2 linked regions of the Notamacropus eugenii genome follow. The protein of the gene in region 2 purifies or fractionates together with the protein of the main gene of each other region. This does not show direct contact. Links are inferred from orthologs where the notes say so. Each region holds a gene or a part of one and is shown on either strand. Other genes may lie near its edges.

Evidence for each region.
Region 1: the proteins of CD151 (region 2) and ITGA3 purify together in Homo sapiens (co-immunoprecipitation; 4 studies listed by BioGRID and IntAct, with this or other methods). This does not show direct contact. The link is inferred for Notamacropus eugenii from reciprocal best matches to the Homo sapiens genes CD151 and ITGA3.

The regions. Positions count from the first base shown.
Region 1 is NC_092873.1:350,538,981-350,546,960, reverse strand, and holds the start of ITGA3 (integrin alpha-3), read left to right. Parts: upstream 1-4,744; 5' UTR 4,745-4,894; coding exon 4,895-5,109; intron 5,110-7,980.
Region 2 is NC_092873.1:27,466,706-27,474,802, forward strand, and holds the start of CD151 (CD151 antigen), read right to left. Parts: upstream 3,020-8,097; 5' UTR 2,862-3,019; intron 1,212-2,861; exon of another isoform or gene 1,189-1,211; intron 530-1,188; exon of another isoform or gene 399-529; intron 110-398; 5' UTR 62-109; coding exon 1-61. Other genes in the region: CRACR2B (EF-hand calcium-binding domain-containing protein 4A), read right to left, coding at 5,130-5,289, 5,467-5,538, 5,856-6,043. UniProt on the Homo sapiens protein: Structural component of specialized membrane microdomains known as tetraspanin-enriched microdomains (TERMs), which act as platforms for receptor clustering and signaling.

The sequences.
Region 1 (7,980 bases), about 320 Mb from region 2:
GGGGCCAGGGGTGGGGCAAGGGGAAAAGACAGAAGATGGGATTTGAACTGAGTTTTAATGAAAGTCAGACAAGCTAGAAAGCAGAAGATAAGTGAGAGCAACGTAGGTACTGAATGGAGAGACTACATGTTCTATGCAAAATTAGCCCCTTCTTACCTCCTAATCCCTCAGAATTCCCCATTCAGACTCCCTTCTCCAACTACTGAGTGGACCATGCACTCAGCTCTAGTCCATATCTCAGTTTCTCCTGTCCTCCAACCTCTCTGATTAGAAGTACATTTTCCTCTTCTTTCCAACTCCCCAGTCCTGTTCTTGCTCCTTCATTCCAACCCTATTCTCCATTTCCCTCTTTGGAGAAGTCCTCCCTTATTCCCCTTCCCCCTGTCCATAGAAGGAAATTAACCCAAATACCCTCATCTGTTGGTCCCTGTCTGTGTCCCCAGGATACAACGCATCTGCTTTATGACAGAAGTCCACAAGAGACCATGTTTAAGGAGGCTGAGCCTGAAGTGAAGCAATGGTTAGTGAAGTCATAGTGACTGAAGTTACTTAAGTGATTCTAGCCCTTGGAAGAGGCTGGAAAAGAATAGCTAACAGAGAGGTGACTGCTTTAGGGACCTAGTATTTTTCTTCATGACTTTTCCTCTTTGCAGTCCCTGCCTCCTCTCGATGCCTTTCCCTGCTGCTCCTCTCCTCCCATCAGCCTTTGGAATCTGGGATCTCCCCCACATTCCTTGGCTCTCCTTCCTTTTTGTCCATGGCTTTGTTATCTCCGTCCAGAGACTAACTTCTCTAACTCTCAGTTTTCCTCTGCTTGACTAGTAATCCCCTGTTCCAGTCTCCATTCTAACTTTAAAGCTACTATTCTCTCCCCTGAAATGGAAAAAAAATCCTCATCCTTTTCCTACTTCCCATCCCTGGGATCGGACATGCCAGTCATTTCTGTTTGGGATGGTAGGGGAGATAATAGTTGACATGTAGCCTGAACCCTAACCCTGGAGGTGATCTCAAAGCACTTTTCAGATAGGAGTGCTGTCCTCAATCCCTTAATCACTAATGATCTCTTCATGTTGGGATCCTATCTCCTTTCTACATCTGAATATCATTCCTACTGTAATAACATTCCTACTGGGATGGTCAAATGAATGGCTGATGCAACAGCAAAAAGGGCCAAAGGCTGTGGGTTTAGTCTGTCTAGAACAGGTAGCTTTGCTCTATTTCCTGGACACAGTATGCACTGTGGTCACTATGTCACCCAGGGAACTGGGATTGGTACCATTTTAGTTACATTTACGTTTTGCACTGCATTTCAAGGTTTACAAAGCACTTTACACACATTATCTCACCTGAGTTTCATAACAACCCTATAAGGGATATGTGCAAAGTATGATTGCCCCCATTTTACAAATGAGGAAATTGAAGCCTAGGGAGGTTAAGTGACTTACCTGCCCAAGTTCACTGAAGTAGTAAGTTTCTGAGGCAATATTTAAACCCAGGTCTTCCCAATTCTCTGGTCTAACACTCTAGCCATTATACCATGCTTCCAGTTTTAATTACCTCATCCTCCATAAACATTTCTTTGCAACATCACTGTAGAAACAAACAACACAGAAAAATTTAAGCATTCTGATCAATGCAATGATCAACCACCATTCTATTAGACCTGTGGTGATCTATGTAACCTCTTTCCTGAAGGAGGTGACAGACTCAAGAAGCGGAAGAAGATCTACATTTCTGGACATGGATAATGTGGGGATCTGTTTGATTGACTATGCATCCTTGTTTCAAAGGTTTTGTTTTAATTTTTCTTTCAATTGGACCGGGAAGGTGAGAAGGAGAGAGGGGTTGGGGAAAGATTTTTGAGAGACAGAGGAAGAGAGAGAGAGAGAACAGAAGGAAAGCCAGAAGGAATTACAGACAAGAAAGATAGGTTTAAATGTTACATTTTTTATTTACTTAAAAATAAAAGCAAGCTCTACATAATAAAAACTCACAGTTGCAAGTATAATTCTCACCTTCTGTTCAACAAGGACACACAAAATAAAATAAAGAACTCTTTCTCTAGACCCTGTCCCATCTCCCACCCTCATCATTTTTCGGTTGTGTGTGACTCTGTGATCCTATTTGGGGTTTTCTTGACGAAAATGCAGGAATGATTTACCCTTTCTTTAGCTCATTTTACAAATGAGTAAACTGAGGCAAACAGGGTTAAGTGACTTGCCCAATCTGAACCTAGGAAGATGGGTCTTCCTGACTCCAGGCCCAGTGCTCTATCCCATGTGCCACCTAGCTGCCCCTCCTAGTTGCCCCTCCTTCAGTTTAGACAGTTAATTCATGATAAAGGTACTGCTGCCCTCCTTGAAGAGTAATAATAATAGCTAACATTTGTTTAACACTTTAAAGTTTACAAAGTCCTTTATATATCTTAGCTCATTTAATCCTCACAGTGATCTTGTGAGGTAAATTTATCTCAGTTTTACAGATTGATGAAAACTGAGGTAGAAAGAGATTAAGTGATTTGCCAGGTTCACACGGCCAATAACCTATCATTCCAACAACTGGAAGCATATCAGTCTCCATGAATTAATAATAATAGCTTATATAGCTGCCTACTAGGAGCCAGGTACTGTGCTAAGTGCTTTCCAACCATTATCTTGTTTGATCCTCAGGACAACCCTGTGAGGTGAGTGATATTGAGTGATATTATTATATCCATTTTGCCGATGAGGAATCTGAAGCCATCAGAGGCTAAGGTCACATAGCTGATACACATCTAAGATCATACTTGAACTCAGGTCTTCCTCACTCTGGAGCCTGCAGCTGCCTCCACTGTGGGTCTCTTGAAGATTGTGAAGAAGTGGATCTCTACTCTTCTTGGTAATTTACTAAGGGAGAATTTCCAGTTAGGAGAGGAGACCAGTTAGGAGATGTTTTAAAAGAAGAGATGGTGAAAGATTGGCCATCATCCTTATCATGGGCAGGGGAACAGATGAGATAAGTTCAGGGTCCTTTCCAGCTATCATGGTGTGTGGTTGATGATTTCTTAGGAGACCCACCCACCTGCACAGGAGCCACCACCCAGTGTCAACAGTGCTCCCTGGCTCAGCCTCCCCATCCAATCCTCAGAGGCTTGGCTAAAGGTCAGGATTCAAAGAAAATCCAGGGTGGGGCTGCTCCCAAAGATAATGGAATAAGGGAGAGGGAGGATCCCATGATCACCCTTTTCAAGAGGGGCTTTTTAAGGAGAGGAGAGGAGAGGATAAACCAGCTGGGTTAGATTCAGTGTAGTGCTATCTGCTGGCTGCTGATGGGAAGACATTACCTCCAACAGGATCTGGGAATTATGATTAGGTTAGAGGCCTCTGAGATGGTGGTGCAATGAATACCATGCTGAACTTTGAGGTTCAAATTGTGCTACAGAGGCTTTTTGCCAACAAGTCAGGGCCGGCGCCTAGGTAGTTCAATGGATAGAGCAATGGCCCCGGAGTCAGGAGGACTTAATCCGGGCCTCAGACACTTAATAGCTGTGTGACCCTGGGCAATTCATTTGATCCGGTTTGCCTCAGTTTCCTCATATGTAAAATGATGTAATACTAGTTCTGACCTTGGAAAATTATGAGGATCAAATGAGATAACATGCAAAAGTACTTAAATATGTATTATTATTGTTATTAAAGGAGGTTGAGGAGCAAGGACTCCAGGGTCCACCCAATTCCCAGTTCACTAGACATATCACTGAGTGGGAAATGTAGGTGTGACTTAGTTTCCTCCTGGTTAAATGGCAGACTGCGAATGCCTGGCACTTTGAGATTCCGAAAGATGCGTTGTTAGGGACCTTCGGGCTATATCATTACTAATTAATGTCGATTTTATCTGGCATGTTCGTCCTCCATTCACTCCCAGAAACAAGCAAGGCTTGGGACAACTGTCCGCACACAGCGCCCAGAGGAGAGGATGGTTCAGAGATTTCAGCGACCTTCTCCAGGACAAACAGCCAGAAGAGAGGAAAGGCTGGGATCCGAACCAGCCCGAAAGCCGGACATTCCTAGCCTGAGAGGAGAGATAACCCCGAGAGGCTCCAGCCGTCTGCTGACCTCTCCCGGAGGGCTCTGAGCCGGGACGCGATCGCTGCGGCAGCACCAATAGCCGCAGCGGCGGCGGCGAGAGCAGTCTGCAGGACACCTTTCCCGCCGCCGCCCCGGGCTTCCCTACCCGATGGTCCGGTAGCAGAATGCCGGGAGACAGCGGGGTCGGGTCTTGGGGGGCCCTGAACAGGTGTTTAGGGAGGGCGCCGGGGGGCGGAGGGAGGGGCGCAGCTTCCCCTTTAAGAGGTGGTTGCAGAGCCGAGCCCTTCTCCACCCTTTCCCCGGAAGAAAAGCGGAGCCTAGGCCGAGGCGTGCTAGGTGGGGAGGTGCGGAGCTGGGCGTGGGGAAGGCGGGGCCGCAGGACCCCTCCCTCCCGCCCTCCCTTGCTCCCTCGCAGCCGCGATCCGGCCCCCGCAGCCCGTAGCCCGGATCGGGTAGCAAGCGCCTGCAGAGCGCGGAGGGCGCAGCTTGAGAGGAGCCTGAGGGAGGGGAAAGTGGCAGGAGGGCAGGGCCGAAGACGCCGGGGGCCGGAGGGTCAGTCCGTGCGGACTGCGGTGACACAGCCCAGAGGAAGGAGGGAAGGGAAGAGGGGTGCTACTGACGCCGGCGGGGTGGGAACCCCTGCGAGGACAGGGTGTGAAACTGACCAGGGGTACCTGACTGGACTAAGTGGGGCCACCTGACGGGATTGGCTGAGGGACTGTCGGCTACGCCGCAGGCGGCGACGGGGAAACAGGTGAATCTCACCCCCCACGCCTTCCCCGCGCCCCCAATATACACCCATCCGCCCCACCGGGTCGGCTGGAACCATGGACCCGGACCCCCGAGGCCGCCGTGCCCCCTGTGCCCAGCGCCTGCCCCTCTGCGCCTTGGCGCTGGCCCTGGCAGCCGCCGGCTGTCGCGTTGCCTCCGCCTTCAACCTGGACACCCGGTTCCTGGTGGTGAAGGAGGCCTCGAACCCCGGGAGCCTCTTCGGCTACTCGGTCGCCCTCCACCGGCAGACTGAGCGGCAGCAGCGTTACCTGTGAGTGGGGGCGGGAGCGGCAGCTGGGGGTGGCGGGAGACCGGGACATCAAAGAGGGACCTCCTACATTCCCGTACCCAGCCCACTTCCTTTGAGCGCTTAGAACGCCCCTGAGGTTTAAGAATTTTGGGGCCCGGCACTGGGTAGCTTTGCCGAGAGGGGAAGGACTGAGCGGGGAGAAGAAGAGGGGGGTGAGGCGGCGGGACCTGCGGTGGGAGGGGAGTAGATAATCCCTAACACGTGCAGGAGCTGCTCCAACCTGCCTCTCCCCTCTAGAAAAATTCCCAGTCTTGAGGCACAGGCTGGGGGTGGGGTACCCTTTGTGCCTGGAGACCCGACTAGGAGTGACCGGGTTGCCGAACTCTCTCCTTAGCTCCTAATCCTGGGCACCTAGCTGGGCTTTGAAATCTTAGGACTTGGGTCCCCAGTCGTGGGGAACGGGAAAAGGCCCTAAGGGAACAGCCATGTGTCAGGAAGAAATCCTCAGCCTGTTGACCCTCTCACCTTGACTGTCCACCTTGTCCTGACATTCCCCACCACACTAGCCATATCTTCGACATGTCCAGGGATAATAGCATCCCAAGATCTAGAGCTGAGGAAATCTAGTTAAACCCCCTCCTTTTACAGAGTAGTTAACTGAGGCCCAGAGAAAGGAGGAAGGACTTGCCCAGGGTTACGGGAGAAGTAGTCATTTATTCCTTATGTGTGTACATAGAACCTTCATGACTTACAAAGCAGGTGTCTTTGCTATAGTCACCCTGTGAAGGGAACATCTGTATATCAAATGACTCGAAGTAACTGTCCCTAAAACATTCACCTAGTACAGTGTCCTGATCTGGATTCGAATTCTGATCCTCTGATTCTGAATGGAGGACTTTCCTCTCTGATTCAGGATGAATGGATTGGATAGATGGAAGCTGTTTCGTTGATTGAGGTCTGGAGGGGGAGTGCTACCTTGACCTAACTAACCCCTGTGCGCCCCCTTGAGGTGCCAGTGGTGGGAAGAGGGCACACTATCCCAATGCTTTCCCACCCCAACAGTTGGGACCCCCCCCACCTCCTCCCGAGCATCTTCTCCACATTCCACACATTCATGCTGAATCTTCAACCCTGAGTGTGTTTGTTTTGGTTTGAAGAGGAAACTGGTATTTTTTTCTCTTTTCTCTCCTCTCTGTTTCCACCCTTTCCCCCCCCCAAATAGCTTCTGAGAAAAGGAAGGGGGCAGGGAGGTCAGTGTTCTGGACAGAGAAGGTGATAGCATCCAGCTGTTTTTGTCCTGAGTCCCATATTGGTTGAGATGGTTGTAATGTTGACCCATTTATTACTGCAGGTTGAGTGTTTTAGGATCTTCAAATGGGGTACTTGTCATTGTTCAGTCATGTCTGACTTTTCATGATCCCTTTTGGGGGTTCCTCGACAAAGATACTAGAGTGGTTTGCTATTTCCTTCTTTGGCTCATTTTTACAGATGAGGAAACTGAAGCAAAGAGGGTGAAGCGACTTGCTCAGGATCACAAAGGTAGTAAGTGTCTGTGTTCAAATTTGAACTCAGATCCTCCTGGCTCCAAGTCTGGTCCTCTCTTCACTACTTCACCTAGCTCCCTCAGATGGAGTATAGGCTGGGCATTTATTTTGTCATTTTATTTTATTTTGGTGGAGGTGAACTTGGGCAGGAAGGCCTTCATGAGAGATGGGGGTGATGGGTGTGTCAGGGGGATCAGGGGAAGGTAACAGGAGCAGTTCCGCTTTCTCAGAGCTGGGTGGCCGTAATGGAGAGAGCTCTCAACTTCTACACCCAGGAAGTAGTGGAGTGGTTGAAGGTGTTTGGGGAATTATAGCAAAGCACAGGGCCCTGCCCTGCCTAGTCCTAGTCCTATGGCCTTCCTGAGAAGCGGCTAAAGTCCAAACCTCCTCAGCAGTCTTGACCTTTGACCCCTGACTGAGAGATCCCAGCTCCATCCAGAGCTTAACCCTAAAACTTGGGAAAGGTTGAGGAAGGACCAGGGAGTCTGGAGTGCTGTGTTCTCCTCATGATACTCAGCCTGAAAAGTGATAGGGACACTTTTCTCCATTTTCCAAGGGGACTGTCTTTGGAGACCCTAGATACAGCTTCTTCCTTAGTTTAGAGTATAGCAGGGATTTTCCGCAAGAAGCAATGAAGTGCTCTCCTACTCCTGAGAGTCAGGAGACCTGGATCCTAATCCTGGCTATGTGACTTTGGGCAAGTCAATTCCCCTCTCTTCAATTTCCTCCTGTAAAACAAAAGACTTGAAGGGATGAGATGATGTTATCCAGTGAAAAGAGCACTGGTGTTTGTCAGAGGATCTGGGCTCAAATATTGGCTTTGCTAATGCTAATTTATGACCTTGGGCAAGTCACTTAACATCCCTGGGTCTCAGTTTCCTCATCTGTTAAACAAGAGGATTGAATTAGATGGCCTCTGAAAACCCCTTCAGTTCTAAGTCTATGATCATCTAATCTCTGAGGTCCCTTCTCCTAGGCTCTGACAGTCTCTAATTCCACATACCTTCCCCTGACTCCCAGAGTGAGAATTATCAATGGCATGAGTACTACTCAACTGCCCTGTGGTAAATGAGCTAAATCTTTAGATACCTGAGTCTCTCTACACTTTGTTCCAAATGTCCTCTTCAACACATCTCAAAGCACTACCGTTCAGAATCATGGACTTTCAGAGTTTTAAGGGACTTTGTAGTCTGCTGCCTCCTTCCCCTTGCCTCAAAATGTCCTTTTCAGGTGTTTTTGAGTGTAGAGATTCTGGATCTCTCTGTGACAACTGGACCTACCTGAACCTAGAAATCTAGGTCATATATATAGGGGGAGGGAAGGGTATGTATGAGAGGGATGGAGAAAT
Region 2 (8,097 bases):
AGAGCAGGTATTTCAGGCAGATGGTACCACACGTCTCCTTCTTCTCGTTATACTCGCCCATCTTGAGAGCCCAGGGTGGGGAGAGAACCTCCTAAGTCAAAGGGGAGCCCTAAGGGAGTGCCAGCGCAGGTTAGGAAGACAGGCTCTGCCCCGACCAGACTCTAAACCCTTCACCCCAGGAGACACAACGAGAGGGATGGGGGGCAGCTGGATGGGGGCTGGGAGAGGTCCTGTCCACCCTCAGACACCTGGCACATTCACAACTGAGGAGTATTTTCCCAGGAAACCAGGACAATGGGCAGTTTCCTGGCAGAAATGACCAGTCCAAAAGACCGGCCAAGGGAGGGGGCCATCCACCAGTCGGCCCTCCCCAGCCCAGGTGGTCTGGGTCTCCCCACCCTCCTCTGGCCTCCAGGATCTCCCAGGCAAAGAAGGAAGCCTCAGGGCACGCTAGGGCAGGGCAGGGCAGGATGCTCCCACACAAGCCCCAGGGTTCAGGTTCCCTCCACAGGGCACACTAAACACTGGGTGATCAGCCCCCGCATGGCCTTGGCTCCTCCCTCAGCCCCTCCCCTGCACTGCATTCCCTAGGCCGAACGTCAGAGCTGGGTCCAGCCCAGAGGAACTGAACCAGGCAGGAATCAACTGGTCCTGGGGGAAGGGGAGGAGAGAAGAGAGCATGGAAGAGAGCTGAGAAAGGATGGCCCCTCCCTCCAGCCAGGGGCCAAATGCTGCTGACCATACCCCACCAGAGAGCCCTGTACCCACCCTCTGCTCAGCTACTCGCTTCAGACAGGCCCTTCCAGCCCCTGTTCTGTAGGATGAGAGGCTGCTGTCTCTAAGGACTCTTCCCACTCTAACCACTGGGTCACAATGGACCCCCAGCATCTCCTGAACAACATAAGTCTTTGAGGGCCCCTGCCCTCTACCAACTCTGCTTCTTTGCCTCTCCAGTGACCCTTTCGCACTCTGGGCAGGGGGGTGTCAGGGACCTGGTAGGGGTCTTCTCTGGCTCAGACCCTCCCCTATGCCAGTGGACAATGGACACCAATAAGTGTTTTTTGGTACAAAAAGTGGTAAGGGAAGGGGCTGACAGAGACTTCTTCCAGGCCTGGGAAGCAGAAACCCAAGGAGATGAAGTGGATTGGCATTTGTGCATCATCTCCGCAGGTCAGCAGGGGCTATTACCTTCCTTTGTGGCCCAGTGCCTAGACTGGGCCCAGCACCCACCAAGTGTTCCATCAGTGGTAGTGGACCGACCTGATTCAGTTTCCCTGCTGCAACAGCAGATTCACTTCTACCCTCACTTGGACTTTAGACCCTTGGTCCTTGACCAGCAGCTTGCCCTGCCCACTTCTGGGCTGCTCCCCATCCTGAAGCCTGGTTATCAGTTATATACCTCCCTAGCCCTTCCGGTGCACCTGATATGAGGGGACATCTAGAGCGGGGCAAGTCACTCTACCCTTTTAGCCCAGGTGGGGAAGAGGAGGGGTATACTCCGGGGTGTGACCAACTCCTGAGGTGAGCAGAGAGGGTCAAGAACCAGTCCTTCCGGCAACAGAGCGGGGAACCTTAGGGGACCGCTGGAAATCCTCTCCCTACCCTGCTGAGCTGCCTTCCCTGACCCTCTTAGTTTCCCCCAAGTGTCCCAGGGTCCCAGCTCATTTCCAAACTGTTAGAAGGCAGTTTGGGCAGGGTCCTCTGGTATCCAAGTGCAGTAGACGGATGGATGGCTAAGAGAAGCCCTCTGGATGTTCAGCACCCACATGCCCCAGGCCTGTCCTGCCAGCCTCTGGTCAGGTTTGAGGAGGAGAGCAAAAACGCCACCAAGGACAAGCAAATAGACCCTGAGAACACATCCAGGAGCTGTCTCCCAGAAGCATCAGTGAAGGTTCTGGGAGGCTGAGGGAACAGGGGCTGCTCCATCCCAGAAGGCCATAGCCATAGGCCCTGGCTGACCCCAGCCAGCTCCCAGGAGTGCAGAGAGGGGCAAGGGGTGGCTTGCTCCCACCACAGCTTCCCAGGATCTAAGTCCCAGGAGGGACGCTGGTCCCAACTGCTGCCATCGATGCTGCTGGGACAGAAATAGCCCTTCCAGTCACAGGGGGCTGGCCTTATGCCCCACCCAACACACACACACACACACACACACACACTCACTCCCATTCCCCAAAGGGGACCGCAGGAGTAACTCCAGGATGCCCGTATGCTGGGGCAAAGCCAGGCTGCCAGGACCCCCACCTCACTCCCAGTCCAACAAGATCTCATCGTTGACAGCCCCACCCACCCCAAAGTTATAGAAAGTCACAGCCAGTGGAAAGATGGGAAATATAATACGTTCCCCAGCCAGGGAAAGAGCTGGAGTCAGGGAGGCCTTCCTGGTGGAGGCCCCGATTGAGCTGGAGAAAAGGAGATGGTCACAGTGGCACCCCCACATACATACACACCTATACACATACACATATGCACATACATATATACATGCACACACACATTGTAAGAAGCCCCCCCTCCCTGGGAGGAACAATTGCTCCACCAGAGGAGCGCCCCCTTCCACTCCACTGAGGCCCTCTGCCTCTCTGGTCAGCATGGTCGCCATGGTCCTGGAAGGGAAACTGAGGCAGAAAGGGCCGGAGCACCGGGGTAGGTGGGGGGGGTACCTTGGGGGCCAGGCAGGTGGGGAGGCCAGAGACCAGGCCTTCATCCTCTCCTGATCCCCTCTACAGGTCAGCCCAGTCCAGACCCGGGTGGGGGGAGGGGGTGGAGCGCAGGCCGCGGCCGGGTCGGGGAAGGGCCGGAACCCCAGAGCCCGCCCTTCGCCCCCCTAGATCCCTACTCCCCCACCCCAGCCTCTCACCAACCTGCGGGCGGCCCGAGCGCAGAGAAGCAGAAGGCGCCGGCTCCGGGGCGGAGGGATGGGACAGGGACGGGACCGGACGGAATGTGAGGCCTCCGGCCCAGGCCCGACAGACAGACCCCGCCCGCCTGCCCCAGGCCCGGCCCCAGACAGACCCCGCCCACCCGCCCCAGGCCCCGCCCCAGACAGACCCCGCCCACCCGCCCCTGACAGACAGACCCCCGGCCGCCTGCCCCAGGCCCCGCCCCAGACAGACCCCGCCCACCCGCCCCAGGCCCCGCCCCAGACAGACCCCCGCCCACCCGCCCCAGGCCCGGCCCCCGCCCAGCCCAGGCCATGGCGCAGTTCGCTCTGCGTTGAGCAGCCTTAATGGGGGACCCTTCTACCGGTCCACGAGCTGGCCGGCCCCTCTCGCGGCAGGCCTGCTGCCTCAGTGGACCCAGCCTGCACCCCGGCCTGAGCAGGAGTCAGGGGAGAAGCCGCCAGGCGGAGAGGGGCGGGGCTCTCACTTCCAGCCCCCCCAACTTCCCAAGAAGAGCTTGACCGGGGCTTTGCCGACGCTCCCCCACGCCCCACCCCGTCCCTGTGCCCTAGGGGCACCCCCAGATTCCTGTGCCCGGGGGGGGGGGGTGTCGATAGGAGAGGTCACCCTCCCCAGGTTCCTGTGCCCCGGAGGACTCGATGGACGGGTCAGCCTAGGGGGTGCAAAGGGGCTGTCCCCTGCGAGTCTTCTGATCCCTAGGGCCAAGCAAAACCAGGTTCTGCCTGGCCGCCTTCTGTTCAGGCTCTGCCTGCCCAGCCAAGTCCTCGCACCTCGGGGAAGGTCTGGATTTGAACTGGGTCTGGGTTCAAATTCCACTTTGCCTGCCTCCTCCTGCCAATGTGCACCCTGCTGAGTGTACAGCAGGCGCTCGGTACATGTGTATTGACTGCTGGCTGGGGGAGTCAGCTCCCTGTTCCCAGGAGGGATTTGTCCCAGGCCTCAGGAGGCAGCTGGTGCTGAAGGCCCCGGGGCAGATAGGGCACATGGGCTTCTCTGTCTTCCTCAGTCCTGCTTTTTGAGTGCCCAGCCTAACACTAGGTTTGGGCACAACACGTGGCAGTGAGCCTCAGTTGCTTCTTTGAAATAGGGTGACACCTGCATTGTCTCCCTCCCAATCCATTCTGAGGGATGGGCTTTATCGAGGGGTAGCGAGGCAGCAAAGCAGATGTTACGGACCCTGACAGCACCCCCCTCCTCCCAGAGTTGTGAGGATCAAATGAGATAATTATAAAGCAGTCAGCACAGTTCTTGGCACCCATCAGGGGCCAAGTAAGTGCTCATTTCCCTCCCCTTATAAGCATTAAGGTGCCATGAAAAAAGTAACCCCAAAAGGAGTAGAAGCGAGTCATGGGCCAGTGTAGATGAGACTCTCAGGGCCAGGATGGCTCCAGGATTGCCAGGAGCCCTCACCCCCAAGTGCCCCAGTAGTAGAGCAGTCAGCGCCACCTGGCGGGAGATGAGACCAAAGTCGGGGAGGCACGTCCCTGGAGCTTGCAAGGTCTGCCGGTTCTGCTAGACTCCTCCTCCAATGAGCATAGGCCGCCCTCTGGCCGCTCAGCTTTGTCCCCATGGACCAGTTTGGTCTCATTATGCTTCCTGAGGAGTTTTTTGTCCTAGGCACCAGAGTGGATATGAGGAAATGCTTCCTGAACGCTACACTCCCATCGCTTTCCCGGACCATCCCAGAAACATGACAAGGGACACTTGATGCATTAGTGGGTATATTTGGGGACAGGTATGCTCTGATGTATCCCACTCAGGACAGGGTGTAGGAAGGGACGATGCCGTTGGGGTTTAATCCTTCATCTTGGCAGTTCAGACCCAGGCCTCATGCAGTTCTGCTTGGGACCAGGAGAGGTGTGGCTTCCTGGGCCAGGAGCTGGGGGGGACAAGAGGTTTCAGCCACATGACTAGAGCCTGAGCCAACTGGGGCTGCCCTAGTCCTTCCTGGCCTGGCCTTACTCTGGTGCCTCATGGCCTCCCCAGTCCCTCCCACACCCCAGGAGCAGGAGCACAAAGGGGAGGGAACAGAATTGTCATTTGCAGCTACTCCCATTAGAGCCGCCATTAAATGGGCCACTTTGGACCTGGTCTTGCAGCAGACGCTGGGCAGCCAGGCCCTTGCAGGGGACCTGGGATGAGATGGAAATCAGTGAAGGGAAGGCGCTCCTGCTGGGGCCTCCAGCTAGCCAGAAGAGGGATGAGGCCTGCCTTAGTCAGGTTCCAGTGTCAAGGGCTGGCCCGATGGGGACAACTGCAGCGGCAGCAGCTAGAGCAGGGGCCCAGGGGGAAGCGGGCAGGTGGAGCTAGAGTCTTCCTCCTCTGCCCACTAACCAGCTTCTTGGCCTCGAAGATGTCTCTCTCATCCCGAAGTCTTCTATTCAGGTCTCTGGTGGGATCAGCATAAGAGAGAGAACAGGGGTGTGACAAGGGGGTAGAGAGATGTGGGTAAAGGGGGAAGTGGAAGCCACTGAGGCTAAAGAGGGAGAGGAGCCAGGAAGACAGAGGGGCACAACGTTTCCAAATGTGGGAGAGGCCGTGAGCCTGGCTTCTGCCCCAAGCTCACCTCAGTAACTCCAGCTGCCGGAGGAGGCTGTGTTTCTCCGTCTGCATGTTTCTGGACACAATGACCACATCCCTGTGGGCCAGGGTAGGATGGGGCAGGGAGATGACTCGGATGTTTCTGACACCCCCCCATCCCCTGTGGCTCATGCTCCGTGATCCCTAGTGGATCCCCAGAGCTCAGGTCATTTCTAGCCCCCTCTCATCCAGAAGGGTAGAGCAGGGTAGATGGTCCTAGGCCCTACCTGGCTTCTTTCCAGGTAGGAGAATGATGGGCAAGGAGAAAGGCAAAGGGAAACTGAGGTATGAAGCCTGCTCTCAGAGTGGGACCCAGGACCCCAGGGCCCCTCCCCAACCCCCACAGCCAGAGTGGGCAACCCCCTGCTGCAGGACCTGTGCTTCTGCTCTTTCTCAGCTTGAGCCTCAGCCTGCAGCCTCAGCAGCTGCTCCCGAGTCACCTCCAGCTGGGCCTGGCTCTGCTCCAGCTGCGTCCGAAGCTCCTCATTCGCCAGCCAGAGCTGGGCATTCTGTACCTGCATCTCTAGCTGCTCTGAGGTCCGCTGCTGCAGCTGCTGCTCTAACTGGGAGAAGGCAGGTAGGAGGGAGGAAGAAAGATAGGTCTGGGTGCTCCCTCAGCAGCCCAGACCCCAAGGGTAAAAGAAAAGAAGGTAGCAGCTCTGCTTGTCTGGCATATGGGGCCGAGGGCTTGCCATTACTATCCCCATTTCACAGATGGACAGCCTGAGGCTGACACACCAGGGAGTATGCTGACACCAAGTCCCACCATCTTTCCCCTTCAGCACATGCCTTTCCAGAGGATGCAGCAAACTAAAAATAGCCAGCTTACTGAGATAGATATCTCCCCTGAGGGCTGTAGCCCAGCCCAGGTGAATGAAAACCCCTGTTTCATCCTAGGCACCCTGCACACAGGAGGACCTGAACAGTTGGGAATGCCTGTCCAACTTCACAGAGCCTTGGGGGGGGTAGAGAGGAGGGTGAGGAAGCACTCAGGGGAGGAGATGCAGGAAGCAGGCAGCACTTGAACAGAAACAAAAATGGAATGGTTGGTAGAATTTGGTATGGTCCACTGAGACAGAAAGAGGCAATGGATGAGGAGCCTGGACAAAGGACCTCCTACCTAGGCCAGGGGCCTGACCTAAAGGGGAGACAGAACTTCAATCTTCTGGGCACGCTGCAGAGCTTTCCCTCTGCCCAAATCAGAGCAAATGATTATTTCTCAATTTGTCTTAATGATAGCTTTGTCTTTCACAGTCAGCAAGGGCTTATTAATGCCTTATACTGTGCTGGGCCCTATGCTAGGTGCCACACACACATCCACATGAGAATGGAGACCATCCACATGAGAATGGAGACCATCCCCATGGGCAGGAGCTTCAGCTGGGGGTGGGGGTGGGACAACAAGGACATATATAAATAGAGAATCAACACAAAGGAAATAAACATAGCACATCTGCTCCAAGGAGGTCCAAACCAGGCACAAAAGGCCCAGCATATGAAGTATTTGCAGCAGCCTTTTTTGTGGTAGCAAAGAAATAGAAACAGAGTGGGTGCCCAAACTGCCAGAATGACCACGCAGTCTCAGGGTATTGTGCAGAAACAAATGACAAAAATGAAGAACTCAGAGAAAGTTCAGAAGGTGCACACGAGCTACACAGATTTCAATAGAAAGAGCCCTCAAAGGAGACCCTTCTGAAAAATTATAAAAACCATCCTCCTTTTCTGGGAAGAGATAATGAAAGGGGACGCCTACGGGGCAGGGGGAGAGCTGTATGCATTGGCCAGTACCATGGGTCAGAGGTTTGTGCTTAATGACTTTTCTTTCTTACAAAGGACAGCTGAAGTATGAGATGGGGGTGGGGGAGGTAACATCCAGGAATGACTGATTTTTTTTAAGAAGGAAGAGAAGGAGAAGGAGGAAAGAAGATGTCAATATGGATACCCAGAGCACTCACCACCTGAATTAGGTTGAAACATGATAAAAAGGTGAGAGGAGGAAAGGCCCTTGATTTGGTTCAGATCTACAGGACACAAGAGCATGGAAGAAGAAAGGAGGAAGAACATGGAAGGGCTTAGGAGAGCTCCAGTCCTGCACAATGAGCTGGGAGGCTGGGTCTGATTTCCCCAGGCATTTCTTTGTGGGAGAATGACTGAGGGCAACCAGAGGCTAGGACTCTTAATTCCACTGCCCACAGAAAAAAAAGAGGGTGATAGAAAGGTCAGGATTCCCTCTTAGGGTGTGGGGAACCAAAACTCTTGATGACCAAGGAACAGCTAAACTTATCAATTTTTTTCTAGCTCCTCTTTTCTCTGCCAAAGAGAATGTTCCTTAGACTAGACCAGGCAGAACAAATGTGATTAATAGGGATGTGGTGATCAGCAAGTGAGGAGAGGAGAATAAGAGAACTCCTAGAGCCTTGGATAGATTCAAATGACCAGATCCAGCATTAAAAGAAGTGGCCAGTAGGAGGGTTGAGCCTCTCCCTCCCCTCCCCTCCCCCCATGGAGAACGGGAGAAGTGTCACAAGACTGGAGAAGAGCAAATATGGTCCTGATTTTCAAAGAGGGGAAAGGTGAGGCTGGGGAGCTTGATTTTGGAATCCTGTCAAGATGCTAG